Linked DNA regions of Macaca mulatta. The protein of the gene in region 2 interacts with the protein of the main gene of each other region in a pairwise test. Links are inferred from orthologs where the notes say so. Each region holds a gene or a part of one and is shown on either strand. Other genes may lie near its edges. The genes, in order: CHCHD3 and GMCL2.

Region 1 (16,100 bases), on a different chromosome or scaffold from region 2:
TTTTTTCCTTAATATTTCATATCCTGTTCTACACCCATCTCCTTGCCTTTGCACATGCCTACATTGCCTTCTCTCCTGGCCCCTTGGGAGGGAGTCACCTTTCAAGACCCAGTCTAAACATCCAAGCCTTCACTGATCAAACCAGTTGTCCACTCCATCCCAACCCTGCCTACCTAAAGCTACCATTCCTTGTACCCACTGTTCCTTTCTCAAACTTCCAATACAGTCTCAATGAAAGAACAGGTATTAGCCTTTCCACATTCACCTTTCTGCCTTTCCACTAGACTGCAAGCTCCTATATACTAAGTCATTCATTCAACAGATGTCTCCCAGGCCAAGTACTAATCAAGGTCCTGTCATACATCAATAAACTAAATAGCCTATACCTGAACTGTTACTTCTATCTCAGGGCCCAAACCAGAATGGAAGTGAGATGGAAAAGAGAAAGGCTACAGATCAAATGCTGTGTGTGCTCTCTGAAGGAAAAAACTACAACTCCCTTCTGGGAAGACACAAAGACTTTCTATTTGAAAATGCCAGGGCCAGCTGCATCTTTCCAACAACTGACAGCCACTGGGTATGTTGCTGAAACTCATGTGCGAAGCTGAGATACATCCTAGGAAAATCCCTCTAAGACTGACTCAATTTACACTTGAAAAAAAAAGAGACCCTGAGTAACATTCAGTTACTGGCAGCATCAAGACCAGAAGCAGTAATTCCCAATCTCTAGTCCAATGCTCTACTATTAAATAACATACTCCTTCAATCCCATGCATGTAATAAAAATATATCACTTCCTCTTAAAGAGAAAAAAATGAGCTTTCATTTTTAGAATCTTAAAGCTATTTTAACTGATATATAATATATATAAATCTCAAAAATCAAGTGTTAGCAATAAGCTTTCATCTGAAAAGTTACTATTTTCATCTGAAAAAGTGAAAATATTTATCCCGAGAGATTTTGTGGAGGGATTTTAGTCTTTTGCACCATAAACTATAATTGACTACACAAATATTTGCTACAGCTATTACCCATATAGCTCCAGCCACAGGGACTTTTTATTTCATTTTGGTTCATTCTTATCAACTAGGTCTGAGCTTGTACTGACTCCTCCTCTGTAAGGTGCATGAGGACTAGGCCTACAGCTATTGCAGGCAGCAGCTGCCTAAGTCCTGGTATGGGTGGAGAAGGTGCTCATTTTTCTCTATCTATGTTCTCTGGGTAGTGGAAGTAGAATGTCTCTTTCAACCTAATCACTAATTTCTTGTTAACTTTTTTTTCTTTTTGAGGCTTCTCTGATGTCCCAAGTTGCTACTTAATGTCAAATTCTCACATCAATTCAAAACATTTCCCAGTGAGGTGTTTGGTTATTGTTCAGTCAATTTATAAGCATGCGCCAAAGGAGTATACACTAAACCTACTGTAGGCTTCATAAACATACTGTAGGGTTGCCTTATTGAGAGTCCACCTTTCTCTTGTTCTTACAATCATTCAACAACTGTATCCTTAGGCCCTTCCAAAGCAGCACCCATGGCCATCTACAGTTGCACCTCTGCCAGCTCCAAGCACTATTACCCTATTCCCAGTCTGCTCACAGCAATGTAGTTATGAGGCAATAGTCTTGCTGTGTTATCATCTGTATTCAAAGTCAATGCTCTCTGAGCTGACCTTCCCATTGCAGTAGTAAGTTCAGACCTGCACACTCACCTCATCTCCTCTGTGAACAGGGGTACTCACTCGTGAAGCAGCTGACAAGCTTTAGAGATGCTGACCCGGGTTATACACACAATCTGTAGCTGTAGAACAACTCATCTTTGTGATGAAAAATGACCCAAAATGGGGGTTGATGGTACAACATAAGCTTCTGCAATGGCAGCCTCTGTGTAAGAAGTAACTTGCAGTTGGGTGCGGTGGCTCACGCCTGTAATCCCAGTACTTTGGGAGGCCGAGGCAGGCAGATCATGAGGTCAGGAGATCGAGGCCATCCTGGCTAACATGGTAAAACTCCGTCTCTACTAAAAATACAAAAAATTAGCCAGGCGTGGTGGCACGCGCCTGTAGTCCCAGCTACTTGGGAAGCTGAGGCAGGAAAATCCCTTGAACCCAAGAGGCGGAGGTTGCAGTGAGCCAAGATCGCACCACTGCGCTCCAGCCTGGGCAACAGAGCGAGATTCTGTCTCAAAAAAAAAAAAAAAGTATCTTCAGGAAACACATCTTTTCCTGAACAGGGCACTTGTTTTAGAAAAAGCCTTTTCCTATATAATAACCTATACCTATTATACTTGCTTTCCAGACATCTCTGGAATCTGCATCAAGGCAAATACCAAGGGCAATTTACAGAAATTATTTGTAGCAAAGAATAGTGAAATAACATAACCCCCACACACATTGACACTGGGAATTACACCCTGAGGTCCACAGACTGAGTAGTCCGTGGATCAATTACTCAACTGTATGCAAAATTGTCAGTTTATTGCATGGTTCTGGCCAGAATCCACAGCTCACAGATCCACAGTGCTCTACAAACTAAAAGAACCACCATTCTAATATAAGAGGCAACCAAGAGAAGCACATCTGCCGATATTCAGCCCACTAAACTTGACTGTCCACCCTATTCTCTACTGCTCCTAAAGACAAATTTAGGCAAACAGAGCTTGCCAAGTTTAAATTTGTAGTACTCACCACACCAACGTGCTCCACAGAGGGGGAAAGGGCAAGTGTCATCTCCTACAGTCTTCCCACTCATCTCTTCCTACCCAACTTGTTTGGTCTTATCCAAAATCCATGCCAGAAACACCACCCACCAATCCAGAAGACAGAATTTTCTCAGAAACAGGAGATTGGGTGAGATGGACAAACAGAAAGTATTTCTACTCCCAGGGAAGAGAGTAAAAAAAGAGGAACTCTCCAGTGGCCCTTCTAAGAGGTAAAGTTACGAGCCACATGAGACAAACAAATCAGCTTCCTGCCTCCAGAAGTTTCTCTTATCTTCTTCCAGATATGTCCTAGCAAATTGATTCAAGAACTCAGACCCATTTTTCTCTCTTGATCCTCCTTCCACTTAGCATAAGTCATTTTCTGTATTAGTTTGCTTTACCATTACCTTTTTAAGACATAGGCTCCAAAAACTGCTACTATTATGTGGGAGAAATTACTCCCAAATAGTTACTTAAGGGAAAGGAGGAGAGGGAACCCATACACGTTCATAGATATATATGAAATATGTAATTCTTAGCTTAGGTTTGTGTTTCTTTACATTTGTCATTAGTAGAAACCATTATCTCTACCTTTATAAAATCCTAGACAACTTAAGATGGTACTCAGCCCAAAAACTTCATAGAATCTAAAGCTGAAAGAAACGAATCATCTACTACTTAACTAAATTATTTATACAATATTCCTCAACACTCCCAATGGCTGACCCAATTTGTAGTCTCTGATAACATACTCTACAGAATCCTCAATAATACCCCATATTAAGTAATCTCTTCATTTACAGTCTCTCAACTGCCAACACTTCCCAAAGCATGAGTTATGTTCCATATTAAGTATCCATACTGCCATAACTGGCTCCTGTTAATTTCAGCTTGCAACTTTAAGGCCCAGCTGCTGACATTCGTTTATGTCTGGAAAGCATAAATATATCTTTGAAAATGATACTCACTGAAGTTGACATTTGCTCTAGAAGAGTTCACTCACAGCTTTGATGTTTCAGATAAACTTGCGAAAGATTGAGTTGTAAGCACACTTTCCAAGCAGGCACGGCAGGTGCCCACAAAAATCCTATCAACCACATGTAATACGAGTAATGAAAATGCTTCGTCTTTCCATCTCTAGGAATTTCGTTTAGCCTTGGGAAGAGGGCAAGGCAAAAGACTGACCTTTCATCCAATCCATATGAGTAGTTTCAGATTCAAAGTTGGAATCAGGCACAAAAATACAGGTTATTTTTACGGAAGAGGAAAGAAAAGCTATCAGTTGCTAAGGATAAAGGGAAAAAACAAGACCCTACAAATACCATGAAAAATAACACCTGGTAGGTGAGAAGAAACTTTAAACTTAAAATTTGAAGTAGGTCCTTTCATAGATAATTAAGGACCTCAACAATATAGAGAAACACAATCTATTAATAAATTCAGCCAGGTGTAGAGGCTCACAGCTGTAATCCCAGCACTTTGGGAGGCCAAAGTGGGCAGATCACTTGAGGTCAGGAGTTTGAGACCAGCCCGGCCAACATGGTGAAACCCCCCTCTACTAAACATACAAAAAAGTTAGCAGGGCATGGTGGCACATGCCTGTAATCCCGGCTAATCAGGAGGCTGAAGTAGGGGAATCACTTGAACCCAGGAGGCGGAGGCTGCAGTGAGCTGAGATCGTGCCACTGCCCTCCAGCCTGGGCGACAGAGCAAGACTCATCTCAAATAAATAAATATTCAGCATAGTTACCAAAAGCCTTATGTTGTTCACTAAATGTTATTCTTTATACATTAAGGTAAGTGATGACTGAGCCTGGTGGAGCGGCACATGCCTGTAGTCCCAGAGAGTGGGGCAGGAGGATAACTTGAGCCCAGGAGTTGAGACCAGCTTGGGCAACACAGGGAGACTCCAACTCAAAGAAAGCTCATAAATGCCAACATATTTATATTAAGGGAATGAACCCAAGTCATTATATGAAAAAAAAAAAAATGAAGATGAAATTATAGACGCTCCTTGGTTTACAATGGATTTTGCTGAAGGTAATGCCAGAAGCTGAGTTTACTGAACGCTTGTCACTTCCACACCACTGTCAAAAAATTCTAAGTCGAACCATCCTAATAGGAGACCATCTGTACTATCTTTAACGGTGTAACAGAACACAGAATTAGTTTTCCAGTAGTGACTGACTCTGTTGAATTAATAAGCTTGGTAAACGTTCATTTCTTACAACCAATGACATAAATGCTAGACAACTGGGCAAAGTTGGAAAGTTTTCTTCAGCCAAGTTGAACTAACCCAACTGTAGTTCAAAACTGAAGTTTGGTGCCTCATCGGCACCATGTTCTAACAAACTAAGCTAAAAACAGTGACTTATGTACATACTGAGAATGCAGTTTCTTATCCTTCCCCAAGTCTCAGAAGGAAACAATGTGACTGTTTAAAGCCAAGAAAAATATAAAGAAATAAAAACCATCTACAACAGACCTAGACAAAAAAACACCCTCAATTAGGACGTAATGCAAGACTCCCATTTCCCAGTCCATACCCTTTTAGGTACACCTGTTGGGGCACAACATGCTCTTATTTTTTTTAAAATTTGAAGTTCACATAAGTTCACGTGTCCATTCTTTTGAACAGCTCTAATAACAGCTACTACTCACAAGTGCAAACACTGTCAAAGTACTAGACACTGTGCTAGATACACATTATGTCAAATTCTCAAAGTAGGCTGCTTTATCCAGAAATACTAAATACGGAAACACGATGAAAAGTGACTTGTCCAGAGCCACAGGGCTAGTGAGAGGCAGAGACAGAATCCAACTCAGGTCTGCTTGGTTCCAAGGCACATGCTCTTTCCACTACACGGCACAGCATTTTCAAAGACTCTTATAACTTTGCGTGTGAAAGGAACCCTATCATAATAATGGCTGCCTTTTTAATGAAAACCTACAATGTGCCAGGTGCTTTACATACCTTACCTCATCTTCTTACAACCAGTCAAGGGAAGTGATGGTATTACCCTTTATGCATAAGGAAATAATTCGAGAAGAAGTCAGTTGTCAAAGGCCACAGGCTAATAAATACCTAACCTGCGATTTAAACGGATGTCTGCTTAACTCAAGCCAAGAAAAATACTAAGATCAACTGAAAACATTTACAAAAGACCAAGACAAAACCCACACAGGCAATCAAGTTAAGTAATAAATATCTAACCTGAGATTTAAACTGTCTGTTTAATTATAAGTTGACACTCTTTCTATCATGAGCTCAAAGAAATCAGAATGACCTCTGTGTACCCAATACTTCAATGGATGTCACTTCTACAGGAAACTGCAACAGGCTAAGTATGGCTACAAGAAACTTACAGTGCCACCAGACTCAGAGGATTTCAGGACTGGAAAACAACAGAGATCTGAGAGATGTACTCAGTCCCATTATTTTGCAGATGAGAAAACTGAAGCTCAGGGAGATTGCAAAACATTCATGTAAAAGGAGATCTGAAGCAATGGAGACCAGCGCAAGGGCATTCCAGGTGAAGGGTATATTCTGAAGAAAAGCACAGAGGTCAAAATGAGCATGCCTGAACTGTAGCAATACAGATAAAATGTACTATATGAGAAAGAAAAACAAATGAAGAATGCTATCAAGTTATATGACCAAAGGACATTTCTTTTTAAAAAACAAAAATCTTAAAAAGGTTTTTTAGACAATTTTCCCATTTTAATAGAATACATATCCCTGCTGTCACAGTTATTCCATCCAACCTTATCTAATGTTTGATATGAATCTCTGTGCTGTGGCCACATTCTTTCAATTTTGTTTGCTGTTAGCACTGTGTCTGTACTAAAGCATAAGAATATGGATTTATACATTTTTTTCTAACCAATGTCTTCTCACCCAAAACTTATTTTGCTTTGTCTTTGAATTATTTTTCACCCTGAGTGGCATACCGAAGGCCTAATGGCAAGTCTTAAAATCTCTGCATAGAACTTAAAAGTTTACAGTAATTTTTTACTCCAAAGAGTACTAACTGAACCACAGTAACTCAAAGAATGCAGCCCCAGATATTTTATTACAAAATGTAGTACTACCATTAATTAGTATGATATAAAGAAAGACTGGTCACAAACCAAAAACTGAGTTCAGTCTGAGTTTCTATAAAGAAAAGTTTAATAAATTATTCTCAAGGTAATAGTTTCAGAAGAAAAAGTTTGAAAACATTTTAAATATTTAAGAAGTTTTATTTCCTGGTAACAACTGTTAAAGATAATTTACAAATGTAATTTATTTACGCCGGTTGATAACAGAAAAAAATATATAAATTATTATAAAACTTTCTGAAGTCAAAATTGCTTTATTTACTAGGTGCAGGCATCATACGTCCAAAAATGTGAGGCTCCAAATTCAGGCGCAGCGGAGAGTGTGTGAATGAAGTTAGTGCTGGTATACTGACACCCTAGAGAAAAACCAGGTTTTCAGTTTATGTATCAGATGCATGCAAAGGGCATTAAAAAAAAGTACTCTGCAACGTTGGTCAGAAATGACTACATTACTTCTACTGGTCTGAAAAACTGCAAACCTATCTCAGCCCCTATCAGACTGGCAGACACTAGTCCTGAAGCAACTGGGCCTAGTCCAAAACTTCGGCGCAGCAGGTCACAGAGGAGGCGCCTGGGAAAGAGGAGATATCAGAGAAAGTGAAGCAGGGAGAAGCCAGAAGCCACCCCAGGCAGGCCAGAAAAGACTGTGGAGGTGGGAGGGAGGATTACAGGGTGTGGGGTGCGGGTGGGAGGAGGGGGTGTTATCAGACGGAGAACACTAAATGACACAAAACAAAGGCAATCCTTAAAATGCCAATTCACCCTGGGAGACAGGGTGTGAACAGTGGGAAAGCAGAGTTTGGAGAACCATTTCACAGACAGGTACACTGAGCCACTGAGTTTCAAATACGGTCCTGCAACAAGTGAGCAGTACAGTTACGAGTAGACCGTGAGCCCTTGCAGGGTATAATTCAACCTGGCATTCCCCGCCCGCCCCAGCAGTGCCTAGCACTTGGCACACAACCAGCAACTATCTCTGAATGAATGTCCCACGTCTTGAAACTCTGGGCTTCTTCCCAGACATCTGGCCTTCTGGCCGTACAACACTAGGGGCCGGGACGGGAGAAACCAGGCTGAGCAGGTCCGGGGAAGATGGGGCTTTGGGGTCCGAGTCCGAGCACTGGCCCTCCGCCCGTCCACGGGCACTCACCCGGATGCCCTTCACCACGGTGATGTTCTCATTCTCGTCCGCCTCGAAGGTGACCCGGCGGGTGCTGGTGGTCCCACCCATGGCTCCGGTTCCTGACCCAGCGGAGACCTAGCGCGGAACCACGAGCACTTCGGGGCCCCCGCGCCCACACGCGCGTGGAAGGGCCTGGACTCTTTTCCCGCACAGCTGGAGCAAGGCCACGACCCCAGAAGCAAGGAGAAGGCGCCGGTCCTGAGCTCCCGCCTCCTCCGGTCACGCGCCACAACAAAGACACCTCAGGTTGGTCGGAGATGCGAACTGCCCGCCTCTGTTCGGCGAGGGCGCCCGGATTGGTTCACCCGACCCGGATGCTATGGCAACAGGTGGTGTTTGATAAGCTTTCCCCGGAGTCCCTAGGTGTAGTGGGAACTGTGGTCCCGATCTGGCGCGATGGGTGCTGGGACATTCTCTCCCCGCGCCTGAGCGCGCTAAGGGAGCACGGCATTCTGGGAGTTGTGGTTTTGACTCCCCAGACGCCTAACTGGGCAACTTTTGGAAGACATAATTCTAGAAATTTAGGCCACTGAATTCAGAGACATAATCTGTCTTTCAAAGGGACTCACAGTTTAATGAGAAAGATGCATGATCCTAATTAAGCCATTCCTAGTGTTCTATACACAAATTCCTGGCTCAAAACTTAGCATTTCATTACAGTCATGGGGTCGCTTAATGAAGACTACTTCTGAGAAATGCCTCGTCAGGTGACTTTGTGATGTCTGTGGTTGTGCAAACATCATAGAGTGTACTTACACAAACCCAGATGGTGTAGCCTTCTACACACCTGGGCTACTTGGTGTAACCTATTGCTCCTAGGCTACAAAGATGTGCAGCATGTTACTGTAGTAAATACTGTAGTGGTATTTGTGTATCCAAATACATCTAAACATAGGAAAGGTACAGTAAAAAACAGTGTAAAAGTGCTCGCTTTGGCAACACATCTAGGACAGTTTGAACAATACAGAGATTAGCATGGCCCCAGAGCAAGGATGACACATGAATTTCTAAAGCAGTTCATTTAAAAAAAAAAAATCAAAGATAAAAAATGGTACTCTTCTATAGGGCACTTACCATGAATGGAGCTTACAGGACTGAAAGTTGCCCTGGGTGAGTCAGTGAGTGAGTGGTGAGTTGAATGTGAAGGCCTGGGACATGGCTATACAGTACTGTACCTTTTATCAACACTGTACACTTAGGCAACGCTAAATTTATTTTCAAATATTTTCATTCTTCAAGAATAACCTTAGCTTACTGGAACTTCTTAAATTTATAAACTTCTCGTTTTGGTGACTTTTTGACTCTTTAGTAACAGCTTAAAACACAAAGACACTATATAGCTGCACAAAAATATTTCTTTATATACTTATTCTATAAGCTTTTTTCTATTTTTGAAATTTTTTTTTACTTTTTAAACATTTTTGTTAAAAATTAAGACCAAAACACACGCATTAGCCGAGACCTACACAGGGTCAGGATCATCAGTATCACTGTCTTCTACCTTCACATCTTGTCCCACTGAAAGGTCTTCAGAGGCAATAACACGTATGGAGCTATCTCCTGTGATAACAGCACCTTCTGTAATACCTCCTGAAGGACCTGCCTGAGGCTGTTTTACAGTTAACTTTTTTTTAATAAGTAGAAAGAATGCACTTTAACCTAATGATAAAAAGCATAGTGTAGTAAATACTAGGCGACAGGAGTTTTCCAGCTCCGTTATAATCTTACGATTCTGCCGTCAGAAATGAGGTTTTTCTTTCACTGAAACACTGTTATGCAGTACATGAATGGTGACATTTTAGTCGTAGCCATAAAATAAAAAAAGTGAACGTATGTTTGGTCCTTGTCCCTTATCTCATGAACTATGTATCTGTATTTTTTTTCTTTTTGTAAAGTAAAATTGTAAGTGCTGTGGTTTTCAAACCAATGAGAAAATACATTTCTTCAGAGAATAAATTATTTGCACCAAATATGCAGAGGATTTACTTTCCACTTTTGTGTCTCCTATTACTAGTTCAGTTACATAAGTTAGGCCATAATAGAGTTAGGCAGAGAAAAGTAAGTGATTGACAAAGACAGCATAAATTAGTGGAGGAATTAAAACTACGTCAGAAAAGTTGAGATGATCTGTTGTGGAAAGTTTCTATTAATAGTTCAACATTTCACCTCTACAAGACCAGTACGTAGTTATTAGGTTATCCATTTACATATTTATTTTTTGCTAAACACACTGTTACATATAAGTTTAGCCATATGACCTTAGTTTTACAGAGGCAGATGATTCTCAGTAGAAATCAGGTTAATGATGGTACTGTTCTTCTATTAACCCCTCTCAACATTAAAAGCAGTGGGCCACAACACACTGTGGCATTCTCTTACGCCAAAGACATCTACAGTGGAGTCACATTTTTGAGCTTCAATTATGTGCTGATCTGTTACTGTATGAATCCAATTATGTGCTGATCTAGTACTGTATTAATCTTTTTTTTTTTTTTTTCCCTGAGATAGAGTCTCGTTCTGTCGCCAGACTGGAGTTCAGTGGCACAATCTCGGCTCACTACAACCTCCGCCTCCCAGGTTCAAGCGATTCTCCTGCCTCAACCTCCGGAGTAGCTGGGACTATAGGCGCGTGTCATCACGCCCAGCTAATTTTTTTTGTATTTTTAGTAGAGACAGGGTTTCACCATGTTGGCCAGGACAGTCTCGATCTCCTGATCTTGTGATCTGCTCACCTCAGCCTCCCAAAGTGCTGGGATTACAGGCGTGAGCTACCGCGCCCAACCTTACTGTATGAATCTTTAGAGCAGAAACTATGTCTTTTTAATCTCTATATCCCTGGTCAGTAGCAGAGTGTTGATTACATCTCATCATTATATTATTTTCAAATTTTACTATGTTACTTTGCAGTTATGAGACTACGTGCTACTTCGTACTTGTTCTCAAGTTTCTTTGTGTTTGTTTGTTTGTTTTGTTGTTGTTGTTTGGGTTTTTTTGAGAGAGGGTCTTGCTCTGTTGCCTAGGCTAGAGTGCAGTGACCCAAGCACCACTTACTGCAGCCTCAACCTCCCAGGTTCAAGCAATCCCTCCCAGTTCAGCCTCCCCAGTAGCTGTGACTACAGGTGTGTGCCATCACACTTGGCTGCAGTCTCACTATGTTGCCCAGGCTGGTCTCAAACTCCTGAACTCAAGCAACCTTCCTGCCTCAGCCTCCCAAAGTGCTGGGATTACAGGCATGTGCCACCATGCCCAGCCTAACTCTTTCTTCTACTGGGAACTAGAGCTCCCAGGAATTATGACTTTCATTTTTGGGGGACCCTCCCCTCCACAAACACACTCTCACTTATTACCCCAATATATAGGGCATATCGGAGGTTCCATATAAAATATATGCTCAACAAGCACTTGCCAAAATAACCAAGTACAAAGAAAGTGTTTCTTGGAGAGAATAGAGAGATGAAGGAACCACTAGTTGTCTTAAATATATTTATCTCCTTAGAATATTAAATAGAATTCTTTCAACCAAATATATTAAAGATGATGAATACTAAGCATGAGAAGATAGGTGAGTGCCTTCACTGTTTATGATACAAAAACATATAAGTGGTCTTATCAAACAGACAATCCAAAAATATTTTAGACATCCTAATGCATTTTAACCAACATTACAAAGATGCCTTCTGAGTTTAAAAAAAAAAAATTCAATGCAATCTTTAAAAAAAAAAAAAAAAAAAAAAAAAAAAAAAGCCTTCTCTACCAATATTGTTCTATCCATGTCAATTTCCAGGCCAGTCATGTCTATGCAATCCCTTCTTGAGCTACGCGAACCTGTGACCTCCTTTCTTTCTGGCTACAGCTTATTAATGGTCATCTAATCCAAATGCAGCATTTACTAGCCAGATACCTATGAACTAGAATGCAAAGCTTTGGCCGGGCGCGGTGTCTCATGCCTGTAATCCCTGCACTTTGGGAGGCCAAGGCAGGCGGATCACGAGATCAGGACATCGAGACCATCTCGGCTAACATGGTGAAACCTCGTCTCTACTAAAAATACAAAAAATTAGCCGGGCGTGGTGGCGGGTGCCTGTAGTCCCAGCTACTTTGGAGGCCAAGGCAGGAGAATGGCATGAACCCGGGAGGCGCAGCTTGCTATGAGCTGAGATCGCACCACTGCAATCAAGCCTGGGTGACAGAGCGAGACTCCATCTCAAAAAAAAAAAAAAAAAAAAAGAAAGAAAGAAAAGAGAAAAGAATGCAAAGCTTTGCCCTAAGAAAAATAATAGCTAACACTTGAGCTACTCAGATTCTCTGTGTCTTTCTCCCTTTTCTCTGTCTCTGTATTCACTTTCTCAAATTTAAACTAGAAAATTCAGAGTATACAAAAAGATACCAATAAGAGAAGTTATAACACTGAGTCTGTACCATGAAGAATGATGGCAAACTAAAGATAGGTGGAAGAAGAAACTGCAAGAAAAATAAAAGGCATGCAGACTGGAAAGGAAGAAGTAAAACTACCTCTATTCAAAGATGACATGATCTTACAAATAGAAAAATCTTACAGAATCCACTGCAAAACTAATTAGAAATAATAAAAAAAAAATTCAGCAAGTTTTCAGGATACAAAATCAACATACAAAAATCAATTGTAGCCGGGCACAGTGGCTCACATCTGTAATTTCAGCACTTTGGGAGGCCGAGTCGGGCAGATCACCTGAGGTCAGGAGTTCGAGACCAGCCTGGCCAAAATAGTGAAACCCCGTCTCTACTAAAAATGCAAGAATTAGCTAGGCATGGTGGTGGGCACCTGTAATCCCAGCTACTGGGAAGGCTGAGGCAGGAGAATTGCTTGAACCCGGGAGGCAGAGGTCACAGTGAGCGGAGATGGCACCACTGCACTCCAGCCCAGGTGAGACTCCATCACGAAAAAAAAAAAATTAATTGTATTTCTATACACTGGCAATTAACAAGCCAAAAATGAAACAAAGAGAGCAATTCCATTTATAATAGTATGAAAAACAACTCAAATGTCCATTAATTGATGAATGGAAAAACAAAATGTAATATATCTAGAAAATGGAATATTACTGGGTAATAAAAAGGGAGAAAGTACTGATATATACTACAGTATGGATGAACCTCTAAATCATTATGCCAAGTGAAAGAAGCCAGACACAAGAGGCCACATATTGCATAATTCCATTTAAATGAAATGTTCAAAATAGGCAAGTCTATGGAAAACAAAAGAAGATTAGGCTTAGAGAGGGTAGGAGGGGGTGAGATGTAAAGTAACTTCTAATTGATACATGGTTTCTTTTGAAGGAGTGATAAAAATGCCTAAAATTAGATTGTGATGGTTGCACAATGCTATAAGTATACTGAAATTTATTCAATTGTACACTTTAAACGGATGATCTTTATGACATGTAAATTATGTATTAATAACACTATTAAAAAGTATTAGCTAGGCATAGTGGTTTGCACATGTAGTCTTATGTATTCTGGAAGCTGACATGGGAGGATCACTTGAACCCAGGACTTGGAGGCCACCATGAGCTATAAATGCACCCCTGCTCTCCAGCCTGGGCAACAGAGCAAGACCCTGTCTCTAAATAAATAAGCAAAGCTGTTAAAGAATGTATAGTTATTAAGATAACGTATGAAAAATTTTTTTGAAAAATAATTTATAGTTATTTAAACATGATAGAAATTATTTATCATTAAAGTCCAAATTGTTTGTTTTTTTATTTTAAACGAGAAAAAAAAAAGAAGAAAACCATGAGCAGCTTTGTAATAGTGAAATACAAGCCAGTTTAAATGGGAGACTAACATAAAGCAAGCCCTTAAAAATTAGTTTAGTCTTGGTCGGGCGCGGTGGCTCATGCCTGTAATCCCAGCACTTTGGGAAGCTGAGGTGGGCAGATCACCTGAGATCAGGAGTTTGAGACCAGCCGGGAGAACATGGTGAAACCCTGTCTCTACTAAAAATACAAAAATTAGCCAGGCCTGGTGGCAGGCACCTATAATCCCAGCTACTTGGGAGGCTGAGGCAGGAGAATCGCTTGAACCTGGGAGGCGGAGATTGCAGTGAGCTGAGATTGCACTACTGCACTCTAGCCTGGGCAACAGAGTTAGACTTTGTCTCTAAAAAAAAAAAAAAATTAGTTTAGCCTCACAAATACAGAGCACTGATGTGAAGACCCAGGACTCCAGAAGCTTCTAGGGATGTCTAGAATTCAGAAAGTCCTTGCAACTGTAGTCTTTATAATGGCCGGCTCTGTCTAAGCTGCTGGGCTTCTGGAGGCCCAGCCGTACAACACTTCCTAGGTTCTGGGGCACATACAGCCTTACCAGAGGATCTTCCCATCATATGAGCCTTCCCAAATATCAACAACAATAATGCAACACATTTTCTTCCGTCTCTGCCCAGGAAACCAGCACTCTAAGTATTGAATGTCAGCAGTTTACTTTGATGCAGAGCCGAGCACTGAGCAGCAATTTGGTTTTTCACAAATCTTAGCTTGATCACTAAGCAATATTACCTGCCAACTCCTCTGTCCTTTGTGATTTTTCCCTTTCCCACCACGTCAAATCTTTGGAATGAATGCTGGAAAAAAGAGAAAGAAGGAAAAGAAGGAGAGAGGGAAGAAAGGAAAAATCCAGTCATCCCTGATGATCTCCTTCCCCTAAAAAGAAAAATATATGTATACCTAAACTTCCAAATCAGCCAGGTACAGTTGCTCACAACTGTAACACTTTGGGAGGCCGAAATGGCAGGATCACTTGAGCGCAGGAGTTCACAACCAGCCTGGGCAACTTCAAGACCAGCCTGGGCAACCTGGCAAGACCCCATCTCTACAAAAAACACAAAATTTACTTGGTGATGTGCACCTGTCATCTCACCTACTGAGGAAGCTGAAGTCCAAGGATCATCTGAAACCAGGAGGTCTACACTGCGGCGAGCCATGATCATGCCACTGCACTCCAGCCTGGGTGGCAGAGTGAGACCCTGTCTCAAAATAAATAAATACATAAAAATGAACTTTCAAATGACTCGAACAGACAAAAATTACAGAAGGTTTGCTCTATATACGCCAATTTTTCAATCCCAACTTTAAACAAAAAGTAGAAAAAGGCCTAATCCTGGTGACCTCACTTCTGCCACTCCTTCACACACTGCTTGACTGTCCCTGCTCTACTTGGTGGAAGTGTAGAAAGATATGGATGAGAAGCAAAGGTAAAAACAGAAAGAACGTGACATGGGATAATGATAATGAGGGCTAAGGAGGAGAGAGACCTGTTCTTGGTCCCCAGCTAGAAAAGCTAATCATTGTGCTGTTCATCACGGCCCCCTCCCCAGCAATTCTGAGTAGCATGCTAGCTGCACAGTAGAGCACTTGGATTCTATGACCTGTGCTGAAATAGAATATGGATCTAATGATGGTGTTTTCTGAGCCAAAAATTGAAGCAATTGCTCTATTATTTGTGAACTTAAAGAGACAATGAAATCAGTCCTTGAAATCAGGATTATCCTGCAAAATCTAGGACATATAGTTGCCATAGTTATAGCAAACCAATTAAAATCACTGAAAAGTGCTTCATGTGTAGTGCAATCAATACAGAGACATTCTGAAAATATGGACTAAGACGTATTTGACAAGCCATAATAGAACATCAGCTTTAAAACTTTTTCCACCAATTATTGTTTGTAGAATCATATAAAACAACGAAGCCCTAAAACAGCATTGTGTGTGTGTGTGTGTGTGTTTGTGTGCACACGCACATGTGGGTGTGCATGCATATGTGCTTATGTGACATATTTTAAGAATTTTGAGCAGCACGCTTGAAAAGATTAAAAACTCAAAATGGCATAAAACAAGTCATCAATAATTAGAAAGCATTTACAAGTACAGTATAACTATGCAACTTTGAAAATACCCACAGTTATGGCATGACTCACATAGTCTCCCTTTAGTAGCCATAATGATCAAGTGATTTCATGCATTGATCAAGTAGAACTGATTTACTGTACTGCCTGTGTGTCATAAAATCATGAGACAGAGATTCCCCATGTTTCAGAAACCACGCCATCTATCTTTGATTTTCAACTAACAGTTAAGGTTTGG
Region 2 (15,524 bases):
AGATCACGAGGTCAGGAGATCGTGATCATCCTGGCTAACACGGTGAAACCCCGTCTCTACTAAAAAAACAAAAAATTAGCCGGGCGTGGTGGCGGGCGCCTGTAGTCCCAGCTATCTGGGAGCCTGAGGCAGGAGAATGGCGTGAACCCGGGAGGCGGAACTTGCAGTGAGCTGAGATCACACCACTGCACTCCAGCCCGGGCGACAGAGTGAGACTCCGTCTCAAAAAAAAAGAAAGACAGTAATTTATTATGAAGCTAGTTTAGGGGAAAAGGCACCACAAGCATCCTGCCTTTAAATGTGCCACTTGGCCTTTGGAGCAAAAAGCAGGCACTTTTAAAAAGCAAGGGAGAAAGTGAGCAAGATGGGGGTCTCTGTGAACTTGGTGCCTTCCCTGCTGGGCCACTGGGCTGGTGACTGTTGACATCTTTGTGGGGAAGCTGGTGTCTCTCAGGCAGCCTGCTCCAGGGTGAGAGTTCCTTACCGGCATGCTTCAGTTTGCAAATCAACTGTTAACCCTTGGTTTGTTCTGTCTTGGAGCCCATAGTTAGATAAACTTTCCCTGGGGGGAGTCTGGTGAAGGGGAGGTAGAAGGCTGTATTTGTATTTCTAAAAGGCTAAGTAGGAAACGGGGAAGGTGGGAAGCAAGAAGAGAAGAGAGAGAAAAAAAATAATTAAATCATTCCTTAGATAAAGAGAGGTACTTAGTTACAACTGCACTCCAGCCAGCATGACAGAGTGAGACTCTGTCTCTAAAAATTTTTTTTCAATGAAGTTTACAAATAAAAGTATATGTTGAGCTGGGCAATGTGTGCTTGTAGTCCTGGCTACTCAGGGAGGCTAAGATGGGAGGATTGCTTGTGCCCAGGAGTTCGAATCCAGCCTGGGCAACATATGGAGACCCTGTCTCCAAAACAAAACACAGAAAGAAAAAGAAAAGAAAAAAGATGATGGCTCACGCCTGTAATCCCAGCACTTTGGGAGGCTGAGGTGGGTGGATCACCTGAGGTCAGGAGTTTGAGACCAGCCTGGCCAACATGGTGAAACCCTGTATCTACTAAAATACAAAAATTAGCCGGGCGTGGTGGTGCATGCCTGTAATCCTAGCTACTTGAGAGGCTGAGGCGTAAGAATCACTTGAACCCAGGAGGTAGAGGTTGCCGTGAGATGATATCGTGCCACTGCACTCCATCCTGGGTGACAGAGGGAGGCTTTGTCTCAAAAAAATAAAAAGAAAGAAGAAAAAAAGTTGAAATTTATCAACTGCCTTGTTAGTAGGTATTGATAAGACTGGTTTCTTTTCTCATTTTATCTATTTATGTAATGAATTATATTAATTGAGTTTCTAATATTAAACCATCCTTGCCTTTCTGGAGTAAGTCCACGTGAATATCATTTTAAATTATATTAATGTGCTATTGGATTGTTGTTGAGATATAGGAAAAGCTAAAGTGTTTTTCCCAGTCTCTCACTCAACAGTCAACACATCCGTGACCCCAGACGTGTGTATTTTCCCTCTACACAGCAAGCAAGCAATTCTCTGTCAGACACCTGCTGCGTGTCTTCTAATTCAGTTTAACTCTGACACCATTTACCTGACGTTAGTGTCAGATCCCACACACTGAGGGCTCAGTCCCACAAGAGTGTCCCCCACTTCAGAGGTCAGTTGCAAGTCCAGACCTTTGGAACTTCTGACCAACTGGCTATACTTTGGGGTTCCCATGACCCCTCCTTAGATTTTATTAATTTGCTAGAGAAGCTCCTAGAACTCAGGGAAACACATTTACCCATTTACTCTAAAGGATATCACACAGGCCAGACAGAAGAGATGCATAGAGTGAGGTATGGAGAAAGGAGTGCACCAGGCTCCAGTAACCTCCACGTGTTCAGCCAGCTGGGAGCCCCCTGAATCCCGTTTTTTTTGTTTGTTTGTTTTAATGGAGGCATGATTGATTAAATCGCCGGCCAGTGATTTAACCTTCAGCCCCTCTCCCTTCCTGGGAGGTTGGGGGCGGGGCGGGGGGTTGGGGGGTGGGGCGTGGAGCTGAAAATCCCAGTCTTCAAAAGGTGCGTTGGTCTTTCCAGTGACCCGAAGCTACCTAGGGGTCCGCCAGCCAGCAGTCATCTCATTAGCATACAAAAGGCACTCATATGTCTCTGAAGATTCCTAGGGTTTTAAGTACAATGTGTCAGGAAGCGGAGAGGAAGACCATTTGTGGAGCTCGGGGAAAAGGCCAGATTGGAGAGAGATTTGAATCATTTGCTGGAATTTCATGCCGGGAAACTGGATGAGCTCACCTAGGGGCGGAACGTAGACAGAGAAGGCAGAAGACCCAGGACCAAGCGCTACAGTGTGTTCCAACATATTTCAAGGTTCATCCTCTGGGGGAAATGCTGGCAGCTGTGCGAACGGGAAAAGGTGCGCTCCAGGTAGGAAGCTCGTTTGCATAAAAAAAGGTTACAGTGGGGTGGACAATAAACGTCACACCTGGCCCAACCAATCTTTGGGCCTTATGTAAATCAGACACCACCTCCTCAAGCTGTCTATGAAACCCAGTGCATTTCACCACCTAACCAGAAGAGCTACTCAGGGGCCCCTGTCTCTCTGCAGGACAGAGCTATTCTCCTTTCCCTTTCTTTTGCCTATTAAACCTCCACGCTTTCTTTCTTTCTTTCTTTCTTTCCTTCTTTCCTTCTTTCTTTCTTTCTTTCTTTCTTTCTTTCTTTCTTTCTTTCTTTCTTTCTTTCTTTCTTTCTTTCTTTCTTTCTTTCTTCCTTCCTTCCTTCCTTCCTTTCTTCCTTTCTTCCTTTCTTCCTTTCCTTTCTTTCCTTTCTTTCCTTCTTTCTTTCTTTCTTTCTTTCTTTCCTTTCTTTTCTTTCTTTCCTTCTTTCTTTCTTTCTTTCTTTTCTTTTCTTTTCTTTTCTTTTCTTTTTTTTTGAGACGGAGTCTCGCTCTGTCACCCAGGCTGGAGTGCAATGGCACAATTTCAGCTCACTGCAACTTCTGCTTCCCGGGTTCAAGCAATTCTCCAGCCTCCGCCTCCCAAGCAGCTGGGATTACAGGTGCCCGCGACCACGCCCGGCTAATTTTTTGTAGTTTTAGTAGAGACAGGGTTTCACCATTTTGGTCAGGCTGGTCTCGAACTCCTGACCTCATATGATCTACCCACCTCAGTCTGTCAAAGTGCAAAGTGCTGGGGTTATAGGTGTGAGTCACTGCGCTGGCCTAGACGTCTACACTTAAACTCAAAAAAAAAAAAAAAAAAAGGTTCATCTTCTGAGGGGGAACCAGCAAAAAAAAATATGTATATAGAAAATTCCTTGGTAATGAAGAGGAAAGAGACACTAATACGTGCTGCAGTATAGCTGACCTTGAAAGCATTATGCGACGTGAAAGAAGTCAGACGTGAAAGGCCACATATTATATGATTCCATTTATGTACAATGTCTAGGCTGAGCGCAGTAGCTCATGCCTGTTATCCCAGCACTTTAGGAAGTGAAGGTGGGAGGATCACTGGAGCCCAGGAGTTCAAGACCAGCCTCAGCAACACCACCATATCTACAGGAAAAAAACCCTGCCATTCTTTACCTATGACGGTCTCAGTAAATTCCTTTACTGCCTATGACTCCAGCCACAGCCACAGCTGGCTGCACCCACAACCCCTAGGTCAGCGTAGCACTGGTCCCACTCATGAGGGGCCAGTTTTCACTTTTTTGGCAAAATGGAGAAACATTAATTGGGGCCAAGAGTGCCTGTTGGAAACCCATTTCTTGAATAGCATTCTTTTAAAAACAATTGTTTTTTAAAGACAGGGTCTCCCTCTGTCACCCAGGCTGGAATGTAGTGGTGCAATCACAGATCACTGCAGCTTCAAACTCCTGGGCTCAAGTGATTCCCCTCCAGAGTAGCCGGGACTGCAGGTATGTGCCACCATGCCCAGGTAATTTTCTAAAAAAAATTTTTTTTCATAAACCATAGTTTATACAATAGTTTAACTTACACTATTAACACTTTATTGAAAATATTCCTTTTTTTGTTTGTTTGTTTGAGACAGAGTCTCACTCTGTCACCCAGGCTGGAGTGCAGTGGCGCGATCTCGGCTCACTGCAAGCTCCGCCTCCCAGGTTCATGCCATTCTCCTGCCTCAGCCTCCCGAGTAGCCGGGACTACAGGTGCCCGCCACCACGCCTGGCTGATTTTTTGTATTTTTAGTAGAGATGGGGTTTCACTGTGTTAGCCAGGATGGTCTCAATCTCCTGATCTCATGATCCACCTGCCTTGGCCTCCCAAAGTGCTGGGATTACAGGCGTGAGCCACTGCGCCCGACCTATAGAAAATATTTCTATTGAAAAGAACATACTATGCAAACACTTAAAAGTATTTGGTAAGAAAACAAAAGCACATCTTTACGACCAATGTGAATTACGAACTGACAATGATCAACTTCTCAACTAAGAACATTAACCTACTTGTGATTGAAGAAATAATTATCCTGTCTATGGATGACATAAGCAACTTGGCCAGGACAGAAGCAGTGGATGAAACCACATAGAATTCCAATTTGGCCAGTTAACTTATATAAGTGTAATGAAACAGTTAACTTTATTCATTAATATACTCAAACACTATCACTATCTTTCCTTCCAAGATTTTCAAAAATTTAATTATCCAAATAACTGAAGTTTGGTATTTCTATATTTTTCAATACAAAAAGTGTCAGGAACCTTTTATACAGTAATGAGACGGAAAGAAAACAACAGCTTCCTGTGAAAGAGGCCTAATCTAGTCAAATATAAAAAGAAGTAATGTAACCTCTTTTTTTTTTTCTTTTTTGAGACGGAGTCTCTCTCTGTCATCCAGGGTGGAGGGCAATGGTGTGATCTCCGCTCACTGCAACCTCTGCCTCCCGGGTTCAAGTGATTCTCCTGCCTCAGCCTCCTGAGTAGCTGAGATCATAGGCATATGCCACCATGCCCAGCTTATTTTTATTTTGTATTTTTAGTAGAGACGGGGTTTCACCATGTTGGTCATAGCTGGTCTTAAACTCCTGACCTCAAATGATCCACCTGCCTCAGCCTCTCAAAGTGCTGGGCTTACATGTGTGAGCCACCATGCCCGGCTGACGCCCAGCTGAAATGTAACCTCTTGATAACAGCCAAATCACTGTATTAGAAACATTTAAATTCCAGCTTTGGGGGTCAAGGGTGAGGTATTTAAAATGTTCCTTTAAGTTAAACCAAGTGGATGAATTTTAAAAGAAAAAGCAATTTATGAACCTATGGACATATCATTAAGAAAGAAAAAAATTATTAGTAAATTCCAAAAGTTAAAAGGAGTTGGAAAAAATTCCAACTAGAAAGAAAAAAAATGTTGGTTTCAATTAAGGTTTTTTTTGGGTCCATTTTATATAAGAGCTTACTTATTCTTTTTCCAAATGTGCATTTATTATTTGCACAGATACATACAAATTATTCCCATTTTAAAAGCCACAATAAAAATATACATTAACCACAGAAGTACTTACTCTAACTGGAAAGAAAATGAACATGGCTATATTCAAAACAGCAATAAACACAAAAGGTCAACATATCTAAATCATGACAAGTATACATCTCAATTTTGACAAAAATGAGTTCCATTTTTACATTAATGCTTCATCAGCTTCTATATTAGATCCTCTGACCTTATTTATATTTACTATGAAATTTCTGTTAGCATGTGTCACTCAAAGGCACTCAACTCAGAGGGTGTAAAGTCCTGAGCTTAAGTAGGAAACAAAACTCCCAACTAAAATTTGCACACAAATAATTCCAAAGATCAGAGAGTATTAATGTTTAAAAGTATAATATCTGTTTTAAAAGTATTTAATGTTTAAAAGTATAATAATTTATTATAATATAATAAATATATAATAAATATATTTAAAAGTATAATAAATATTACATAATATTTATGTAAATAATTCAAAAACTAATAATAAAGGTGTACAGACTGTCAAAGAAAAGACCATGTAAGGCAAGAAATATCCTTGGAATCAAACTGATTTTTCACTCATTCAAGATCATTTGAAGGTGTGAAGCTAACTTTCATTGTTCTTAAAATCCTAGGAAAGCCAAATTTTAAAAAATAGCATGACAATGCTTAAGTTTAAAAAAGTTTCTCAGCTTAGTCTCCAAAACCAGGAAGAAAGCATTTAATGATTAAAAACACGTATGAACTGGAAAGATACCAGACTAAAAGGAGGAATCATAATAAGCCGGTTTAAAATATTAAAAGAAAGCTTTAAATGCACCAACTCAAAACAGCATTTCTAATTGGCCATCTAAATTATTCTTTTAGATTATTTTAGCCAAATAAAAATAAATTTACTGATGGATAACTGAGGTCCACTAACATAAGGTAGAAACAAAGTTTAAGCTAAAAATTAAATCTATATTTTGTTGCAGATAAATGTGAGATTTACCTACAGTAATTTTCTGCTGTTGCTAAATTAAAAGCATGAGTTGACATTGTACTAACAGAAATGGTTCGACAGATATTTTCTTGGCTTTAAAATGTTTTGTTCATATATGCAGAGAAATGCAATGAGGATAAGAATAATCTTCTGTATTGTCTGTACAGACATACCATCGTTAGTCACCTTAGATGTGAATATCAGTAGAGCCATTAAATTAAAGCTGGCCTAGAAAGTTTTCAAAGTGCTACTGTTTCCAACTGATGAGATCTTCAGTTTTCTGGATTTTCTGGGTGACGATTATTTTCAATTCTTTTCTCTGGCGATATATACAAGAAGTTACAGCAGATATATAAAGGGAAGGTCAGAAACCTGCTGTCCAAATTCATCACCACTTGTTCCTGATCCTTTTTAAGTATAAGTATTTGATAGCCAGTTGTTCTACTACATATTAGTTTTCCACTACTATCAAAAGAAGCCAAACGTAATCTAAATGCTATGCTCCTTTGAGGCTGTAAACTGACAGACCCGCTACATGGCTGATTCAGTGTATTGCGTTTGAAAATGATGCATCGATTGGTGTAAGTTACAAGTAGGTCAAAGCCGAAGTTAAAACCCGTCCAACACCAGCAGTATTCACCGTCTTTGGCAAGCTTTCTACCACACCTCATGCTATTTCCCTCCAGTTCTTCTTTATCGATTTCTTGAGGCCCTACCTCACTGTCTTGTTCGGCCCGCAGCATAGCAAACCACTGCTGTTTATACACAGAAGACAGCCATTCTGCAGGTACTATAGCATCTTGTTCAATAATTCTTGCAGAAGCCAGGTCACTGATAATATATTGTAACCTTAAATGTCTGAATACTGATACAAATGGTTTTCCTTGTTCAGTTTCAAGAAAGGCCATATCTTCAAAATCTTTTCTCTGTTTGGAAAACCAGACATCTGTTTCTGTCAAAAGCTGTTTTAAAGATCCATTCCAAGAAGGCACAAGTTGAAGAAACATCCACTTTTTTAGAGCGGTGTATACATCCATCTCCACTTGCATCACAAATAAGTTAGATGAACCAATGAGCTGTTTCATGACATTTATACTGAGTTCTTTAAAAAGTTTAACATTCTGGTGAGTCATCAAATTATTTAGAAGCCATTCAAGGCACTTTTTCTTTACGGAATCTAATCCATAGGTCCCTACTGATGTGTAATAGCCACATACAGTTTTCACAGTAATTGTCTCCTTCATCGTCTCACCACACTGCTGTATTAAACCATCCAACTGCAGCATACAAGCGGCTGCCAAAATGGCAACAACTCGACTGGGCTTTATCAGCACGTCATCTCGATACAGTGAACCAAACGCAACCTGCAGCGCTTCTACATCAATGTTCTGGTCAGGAATCTCCAGTTCAATAATATTCATGCTGGATTCTTTCCAAGAACCACTGAACATACTAGAAAAGTAGCCAGACTGACATAAATATATTTTGTGTAATCGCCATTCTTCTCCTAGAGCACAAATCTTAATGTCACTGTCTTCACCATTCAAAAATAATGTTTGATAAATATATTTGGATGTACTCCTTAATTTTTTCCTTGCAGGGATGTGGAGGAGAGGCTGCTGCTCGTCCCTCTCCTCCTCATCCTCGTCTCTCTCCGAGTCAGGGCGACAGTAGCGGAAGGCCCCGCTGCTCTTGTGACTGCCCGGGCAGTAACAGAAGCCGTAGCCCGCTGCAGGGTCTCCAGGGTCCGGCCTCCCGGCCAAGCCCCCCGCCCTGGCACCCTGCTCCTGCTGGGCAAGGGCTCGCCTCGGCTGGCGCAGCACCCGGCTGCTCGACGATCCCATGGGTCGCGGCTCCCGGGACTTCAGGGAGCCCGGAGGAGGGGGTGTCCCGCCACGGCCCGGCCGCCGCCGCCAGCCTTCCCCGAGCGCAGGTGCCTGCACCGCCAGCTTCTCACGCGCAGCCCAACCGTTGCAGCGGACGCTGCCGCCTCCATCCTCCGCACCCCTCCCCCACTACAGATATGTATATATTTTTGGAGACAGAGTCTCGCCCTGTCGCGCAGGGTGGAGCACGGTGGCTCGATCTCAGCTCACTGCAAGCTCCGCCTCCCGGGTTTAAGCGATTCTCCTGCCACAGCCTCCTGAGTAGCTGGATTACAGGCTCTCGCCACCACACCCGGGTAATTTTTGTAATTTTTTTTTTTTTTTTGAGACGGAGTCTCGCTCTGTCGCCCAGGCTGGAGTGCAGTGGCCGGATCTCAGCTCACTGCAAGCTCCGCCTCCCGGGTTCACGCCATTCTCCTGCCTCAGCCTCCCAAGTAGCTGGGACTACAGGCACCCGCCACCGCGCCCGGCTAGTGTTTTGTATTTTTTTTTTTAGTAGAGACGGGGTTTCACCAGGTTAGCCAGGATGGTCTCGATCTCCTGACCTTGCGATCCGCCCATCACGGCCTCCCAAAGTGCTGGGATTACAGGCTTGAGCCACCGCGCCCAGCCTTTTTTTTTTTTTTGTAGCCAGAGTCTGGCTCTGTTGCCCAGGCTGAAGTGCAATGGCGTGATCTCGGCTCACTGCAACCTCCACCTCCCGGGTTTAAGCAATTCTCCTGCCTCAGCCTCCCAAGTAGCTGGGATTACAGGCGCCTGCCACCACGACCGGCTAATATTTGTATTTTTAGTAGAGACGGGATTTCACCATGTTGGCCAGGCTGGTCTCGAACTCCTGACCTCAGGTGATCCGCCTGCCTTGGCCTCCCGAAGTGCTGGGATTACAGGCGTGAGCCACCGCCTCGGGCCTAAAAAAACTTTTTTTAGGGTGGTCTTGAACTCCTTGGACAGCATTCTTCATTGCTGGAAGCAATTCTCATCTGGCAGCCAAAACCAAGGTCCGTTTTAGAAGCACCACTTCCCCAGGAGCAAAGGTTTATTTGTGGGACCCGACAAAGGCAAATGTGTGTGCCAGGTGCTTGAGCCTAACCAGTCCAATGTAAATTTGTGACCAGGCACGAAAATAAAATAAAATAATAAAATAGGCCAGGCTCAGTGGCACACACCTATAATCCCAGCACTTTGGGAGGCTGAGATGGGTGGATCACTTGAGGTCAGGAGTTTGAGACCAACCTGACCAACATGGTGAAACCCCATCTCTACTAATAATATAAAATTTAATTGGGTGTGGTGGCGCACACCTGTAATCCCAGCTTTTCAGGAGGCTGAAATGGAGAATTGCTTGAAACCAGGAGGCAGAGGTTGCAGTGAGCCAAGAGCTCGCCATTGCACTGCAGCCTGGGTGACAAGAGCAAAACTCCGTCTCCAAAAAAATAATAAGATAAAATAAAGAGTTGAAGTCAAGCCAGGCATGGTGACTCACACCTGTAATCCCAGCACTTTAGGAGGCCGAGGTGGGTGGATCACGAGGTCAGGAGTTCGAGACCAGCCTGGCCAATATGGTGAAAATGACCATGGCTGGGTGGAGTGATGACTGCAGCTGGTCTGGGAAGGCAGAAGCAAGCAGAGGGCCAGGGCAGGATGGGCAGGGATTCTCTGCGGGGAAGATCTGTGGAGACGGGGCAGCAGGATTAGGATGTTAGAATCGAGGAGGCTTTTGTCCCTGGGGGATGGCGTGGAGAAGCGGGGCATGGGCCTGGAAATTTGGCCTGCAGCCTATCCTCACCAGGCCATCTGGAAGCTACTTGTTGGGAACCCTGTGTGTGTAAAGGGCTGACCCAGGCCCAGACCCGGGGGAGCTGGAAAAGGGCACACACGGAGACCACCTGAGAGGCGTGCTGGAACTGCTTGGCCAGTCCTGGGGGACGGGATGGCTGGGGCGTGTGGGTGTCTTCCTGCAAGAAAACAGGACTTGATGAGGAAGGTGGGAGGCTGTTTCAGGCAGATGGAGGTCTGTGCTGCTAGAGCAATGGAGGAGTCACCACCATGCGGGGCTCCACCTTTGTCGCAGTGGGGGCAGAGATTGGTGAGGGGCATCAGGGCCAGATACATAGGTGTGAGGAACCCTAGATGGACCAGTGCTGCAGGGGGAGGTGGTGCCATGCCAGGGAGGTGGATAGGATGCTGGACACAAGTGAAGAGCAACCAGCCCTGGTGGCTTCCTCAAACCTGCGTGAGTGCCTGCCCCATTCCCAGATGAAGAAAGCAGAGGTTTCAATAGGAAAAGTGACTTGTCCTAAATCCCAGAGCTGCAAAGTCAGGAAGTTCAGCCTCCTGATTCCAAAGGCAAATCTGGAGTTTCTGTTGGAGTTAAGGGGCCAGGTGAATGGTCTGTGTTAACAAAACAAACAAACAAACAAAACTCTGTAAAATATTTAAAGAAGTTTATTCTCAGCTGATGTGAGTGACCATGGCCTGGGGTACAGTCTCAAGAGGTCCTTAGAAAGTGTGCCTGAGATGGTTGGGTTACAGTTTGGCTTTATACATTTTAGGGAGACAGAGGTTACAAGCAAATACATCAATCAATACATAGAAGGTGCACATTGGTTCGGCCTCTAAGGGCAGGACAACTCCGGGGGCTTTACAGGTCATAGGTGATTCAGAGGTTTTCTGATTGGCAATTGGTTGGAAAAGTTAAGCTGTGTCTAAAGAGTTGAAGTGGCTGGGTACAATGACTCACGTCTGGAATCCCAGCACTTTGAGAGGCTGAGGAGGATGGCTTGATCCCAGGAGTTTTAGACAAGTCTGGGCACCACAGCGAGACCTGGTGTCTACAAAAAAATTTTAAAAATTACTTGGGCATGGTGATGTGTACTCGTAGTCCCAGCTACTCGGGAGGCTGAGGCGGGAGGGTTACTTCATCCTAGGAGGTCAAGCCTATGGTGAGCCATGACTGTAGCGCTGCATTCCAACTGGGGGGACAGAATGAGACCCTGTCTCAAAAATAAAATAAAATAAAATAGGCTGGGCACAGTAGCTCACACCTGTAATCCCAGCACTTTGGGAGGCCATGGTGGATGGATCACTTGATGTCAGGAGTTCGAGACCAGACTGGCCAATATGGTGAAACCCCATCTCTACTAAAAATACAAAAATTAGCCAGGCATGGTGGCAGGCATCTGTAGTCCCAGCTACTTTGGAGGCTGAGGCAGGATAATCGCCCGAACCTGTGAGGCGGAGGTTGCAATGAGCCAAGATCGCACCATTGCACTCCAGCCTGGGCGACAAGAATGAAATTCCATCTCCAAAAAAAATACTAATAATAAGATAAAATAAAATAAAGAGTTGAAGTCAAGCCAGGCATGGGGGCTCACGCCTGTAATCCCAGCAGTTTGGGAGGCCGAGGAGGGCAGATCACGAGGTTAGGAGTTTGAGACCAGCCTGGCCAATATGGTGAAACCCCATCTCTACTAAAACTACAAAAATTAACTGGGTGTGGTGGCAGGCATCTGTAGTCTCAGCTACTCTGGAGGCTGAGGCAGGAGAATCGCTTGAAACCGGGGAGGTGGAGGGTGCACTGCACTCCAGCCTGGGCAACAGAGCAAGATTCCATCTCAAAAAAAAAAAACAGAGTTGAAGTCAGTGGGAAGAAATGCTTAAGATAAGGGGGTTGTGGAAGCTGAGGTTCTTGTTACGTAGATGGCCTCCAGGTAGCAACCCTGAGAATAGATAGTGAATGTCTCTTTTCAGACCTTCAAAGGTTTCAGACTCTCATTGAATCTCTCCTAAATCTGAGAAAGTCCTGGCTGAATTAATGGAAATTCTCTACAGATGCAAATTTCCCCCACAGGAGACAGCTTTGCAGGGCCATTTCAAAATATTGTCAAATAAATATATTTTGGGGTAAAGTATTTTGATTTCCTTCAGGGTCTGCTATCTGTTATGTGATGTTGTACCAGAGTCAGGTAGAAATTTGGCATCTTATTGCTATAAAAAGCCTGTTTTGAGCCGGGCATGGTGGCTCACGCCTGTAATCTCAGAACTTTGGGAGGCTGAGGCGGGTGGATCACCTGAGGTCAAGAGGTCAAGAGTTTGAGACCAGCCTGGCCAACATAGTGAAACCCCATCTCTACTAGAAATACAAAAAATTGGCCGGGCGCGGTGGCTCAAGCCTGTAATCCCAGCACTTTGGGGGCCGAGACGGGCGGATCACGAGGTCAGGAGATCGAGACCATCCTGGCTAACACAGTGAAACCCCGTCTCTGCTAAAAAATACAAAAAACTAGCCGGGCGTGGTGGCGGGCGCCTGTAGTCCCAGCTACTTGGGAGGCTGAGGCAGGAGAATGGCGTGAACCCGGGAGGCGGAGCTTGCAGTGAGCTGAGATCTGGCCATTGCACTCCAGCCTGGGTGGCAAAGCGAGACTCCGTCTCAAAAAAAAAAAAAAAAAAATACAAAAAATTAGCTGGATGTGGTAGTGGGCGCCTGTAGTCCCAGCTATGCAGGAGGCTGAGGCAGGAGAATCACTTGAATCCGGGAGCCAGAGGTTGCAATGAGCCGAGATCATGCCATTGCACTCCAGCCTGGGCAACAAGAGTGAAACTCTGTCTTAAAAAAAAAAAAAAATCTGTTTTGTGTCTTATGATCTCTATTTTATTTATTTTAAAAATAATTTATTTTATTTTTGAGACAGAGTTTCACTCTTGTTGCCCAGACTGGAGTGCAATGACGCTATCTTGGCTCACTGTAACCTCCACATCCCAGGCTCAAGCAATTCCTGTGCTTCAGCCTCCCAAGTAGCTGAGATTACAGGCATGTGCCACTATGTCCGGGTAATTTTTTGAATTTTTTGTAGAGATGGGGTTTCATCATGTTGGCCAGGTTGGTCTCGAACTCCTGACCTCAAGTGATCCACCTGCCTTGGCCTCCCAAACTGCTGGGATTACAGGAATGAGCCACCATGCCTGGATAGAATAAATATTTTATGCTTTGGGCCAACAGGCAAAATCGAGGGTATTAAGTAGGTAAGTACGTAACAAGAAATAAAACAAAATTCCATAATTTGGGGGGATTGTTATTGACAGAACGTAAAAGTTAATTTATGGATGCTGAAAGTGGAGTTTCATACAATTTTTATGTGTTATGAAATATTATTATTTTGATTATTTATTTATTTTTGAGATAGAGTCTTGCTCTGTTGCCCAGGCTGTGATCTCAGCTCACTGCAACCTCTGCCTCCCAGGTTCAAGCGATTCTCCTGCCCCAGCCTCACAAGTAGCTGGAATTACAGGCATGTGCCACCACACTCGGCTAATTTTTTTGTATTTTTAGTAGAGATGGGGTTTCACTATGTTGACCAGGCTAGTCTTGAACTCCTGATCTCAAGTGATCTGCCTGCCTCGGCCTCCCAAAGTGCTGGGATTACAGGCATGAGCCACTGCACTCAGCCTGATTTTTTTTTCAATGATTTAAAAATGTAAAAATCATTATTTGTTCAGGGATCATATAAAATCAAGCAGTAAGCAAAATTTGGGCTATGGGCAATAGTTTGCCAACCTCTGGTCTAGATCTGCCCTGTTCATCATAGTAGCCCCTGGCTACCTGCAGCTACTGAGTACTTGAAATGTGGCCAGGGACACTCACGATGGCTCACACCTGTAATCTCAGCACTTTTGGAGGTTAACGTGGGAGGACTGCTTGAACCCAGGAGTTTCAAGTTACAGAGAACTATGATTTCAACACTGCATCCCAAACCTGGGTGACAGGGAAAGAAAGAAAAAGAGAGAGAGAGAGAGAGAGAGAGAAGGAGGAGGAAGAGGAGAAGGAGAAACAGAGAAAAGAAAAAGAGAAAGAAAGAAGAGAAAGAAAGAAGGAAAGAACATAAGAAAGAAGAAAGGAAGGAAAAAGAAAGAGAGAAAAAGAAACAAAAGAAAGGAAGAAAAAGAGAGGGAGGCAGGGAGAAAGGGGGGAAGGAAGGGAAGGGAGGAAGGAGGGAAGGGAGGGAGGAAGAGAGAAAGGAATGTGGCTGTACTGGATTAAAATATGCTTAGGTGTGGCCGGGCACGGTGGCTCACTCTTGTAATCCCAGCACTTTGGGAGGCCAAGGTGGGTGGATCACGAGGACAGGAGATGGAGACCATCCTGGCTAACAAGGTGAAACCCCGTCTCTACTAAAAATAATACAAAAAATTAGCCGGGCGTGGTGGTGGGTGCCTGTAGTCCCAGCCACTGGGGAGGCTGAGGCAGGAGAATGGTGTGAACCTGGGAGGTGGAGCTTGCAGTGAGCCAAGATTGTGCCCCTGCACCTCCAGCTTGGGCGGCAGAGCGAGACTCTGTCTCAAAAAAAAAAAAAAAAAAAAAAAAAGCTTAGGTGTAAAATACACACTAGATTTTGAAGACAGTATAAAAAACAAAATATCCCAATAACTTTTTATTATATTTTGGATATCTCAGAATAAGTAAAATATATTACTAAAATTAACTTCACCCCCCAGTTTTTTATTTTTATTTTTTATTTTACTTTTTTTTACTTTGTCTTAGTCCACTTTCTGTTGTTTGAATATCTGAGACTCGATAATTTTGAAAGAAAAGAGGTTTATTTAGCTTATGGTTCTGCAGGCTGGGAAGTTCAAGATTGGACAGCTGCATCTGGTAGCTTCTGGTGAGGGCTTTGTGCTGCATCAAAACATGGCAGAGAAATGGAAGGCGGACCAGGTGCATGGGGGAAAGGAGGAAAACATGAGACGCGACCTTGCTTGATGACAACCCAACTCTAAAGGTAACTGATCCAGACCCAAGAGAGTGAGAACTCGCTTCTGGGGGACTCTGCATGAATATCTTGTCATGAAGGCAGATCCCTCATGATCCAAACATCCCTGAAAGGTCCCCCACCTGTCAATGCCATTATATTGGCAATTACATTTCAACATGAGTTTTGGTAGGAACAAACCACATCCAAACCATAGCATCTTCCCACTGTTGAGTCACTTTTTAATGTGGCTATTAGAACAATTTAAATGATACATGTGTTTGCACTTGTGGCTTGCATCTGTATCTGGTATACAGTGCTGCTCTACTAGTGAAGCTGGAGCGCCCAGAGTGAGATGACCCCAATTTGCCTTGGGGGAAGTGGAAGGGTGTGGCCTGGTGTTCAGCAGTGGGGTGTGGGGTCACAGAGGGACAGCC

What was found.
Region 1: the proteins of GMCL2 (region 2) and CHCHD3 interact in binary tests that used the Homo sapiens proteins (3 or more experiments, as listed by UniProt). The two-hybrid records come from large-scale screens. The link is inferred for Macaca mulatta from reciprocal best matches to the Homo sapiens genes GMCL2 and CHCHD3.

The regions. Positions count from the first base shown.
Region 1 is NC_133408.1:172,773,061-172,789,160, forward strand, and holds the start of CHCHD3 (MICOS complex subunit MIC19), read right to left. Parts: upstream 8,112-16,100; 5' UTR 8,029-8,111; coding exon 7,948-8,028; intron 1-7,947. UniProt on the Homo sapiens protein: Component of the MICOS complex, a large protein complex of the mitochondrial inner membrane that plays crucial roles in the maintenance of crista junctions, inner membrane architecture, and formation of contact sites to the outer membrane.
Region 2 is NC_133411.1:186,996,651-187,012,174, forward strand, and holds GMCL2 (germ cell-less protein-like 2), read right to left. Parts: upstream 8,462-15,524; 5' UTR 8,300-8,461; coding exon 6,728-8,299; 3' UTR 6,628-6,727; downstream 1-6,627. UniProt on the Homo sapiens protein: Possible function in spermatogenesis. Probable substrate-specific adapter of an E3 ubiquitin-protein ligase complex which mediates the ubiquitination and subsequent proteasomal degradation of target proteins.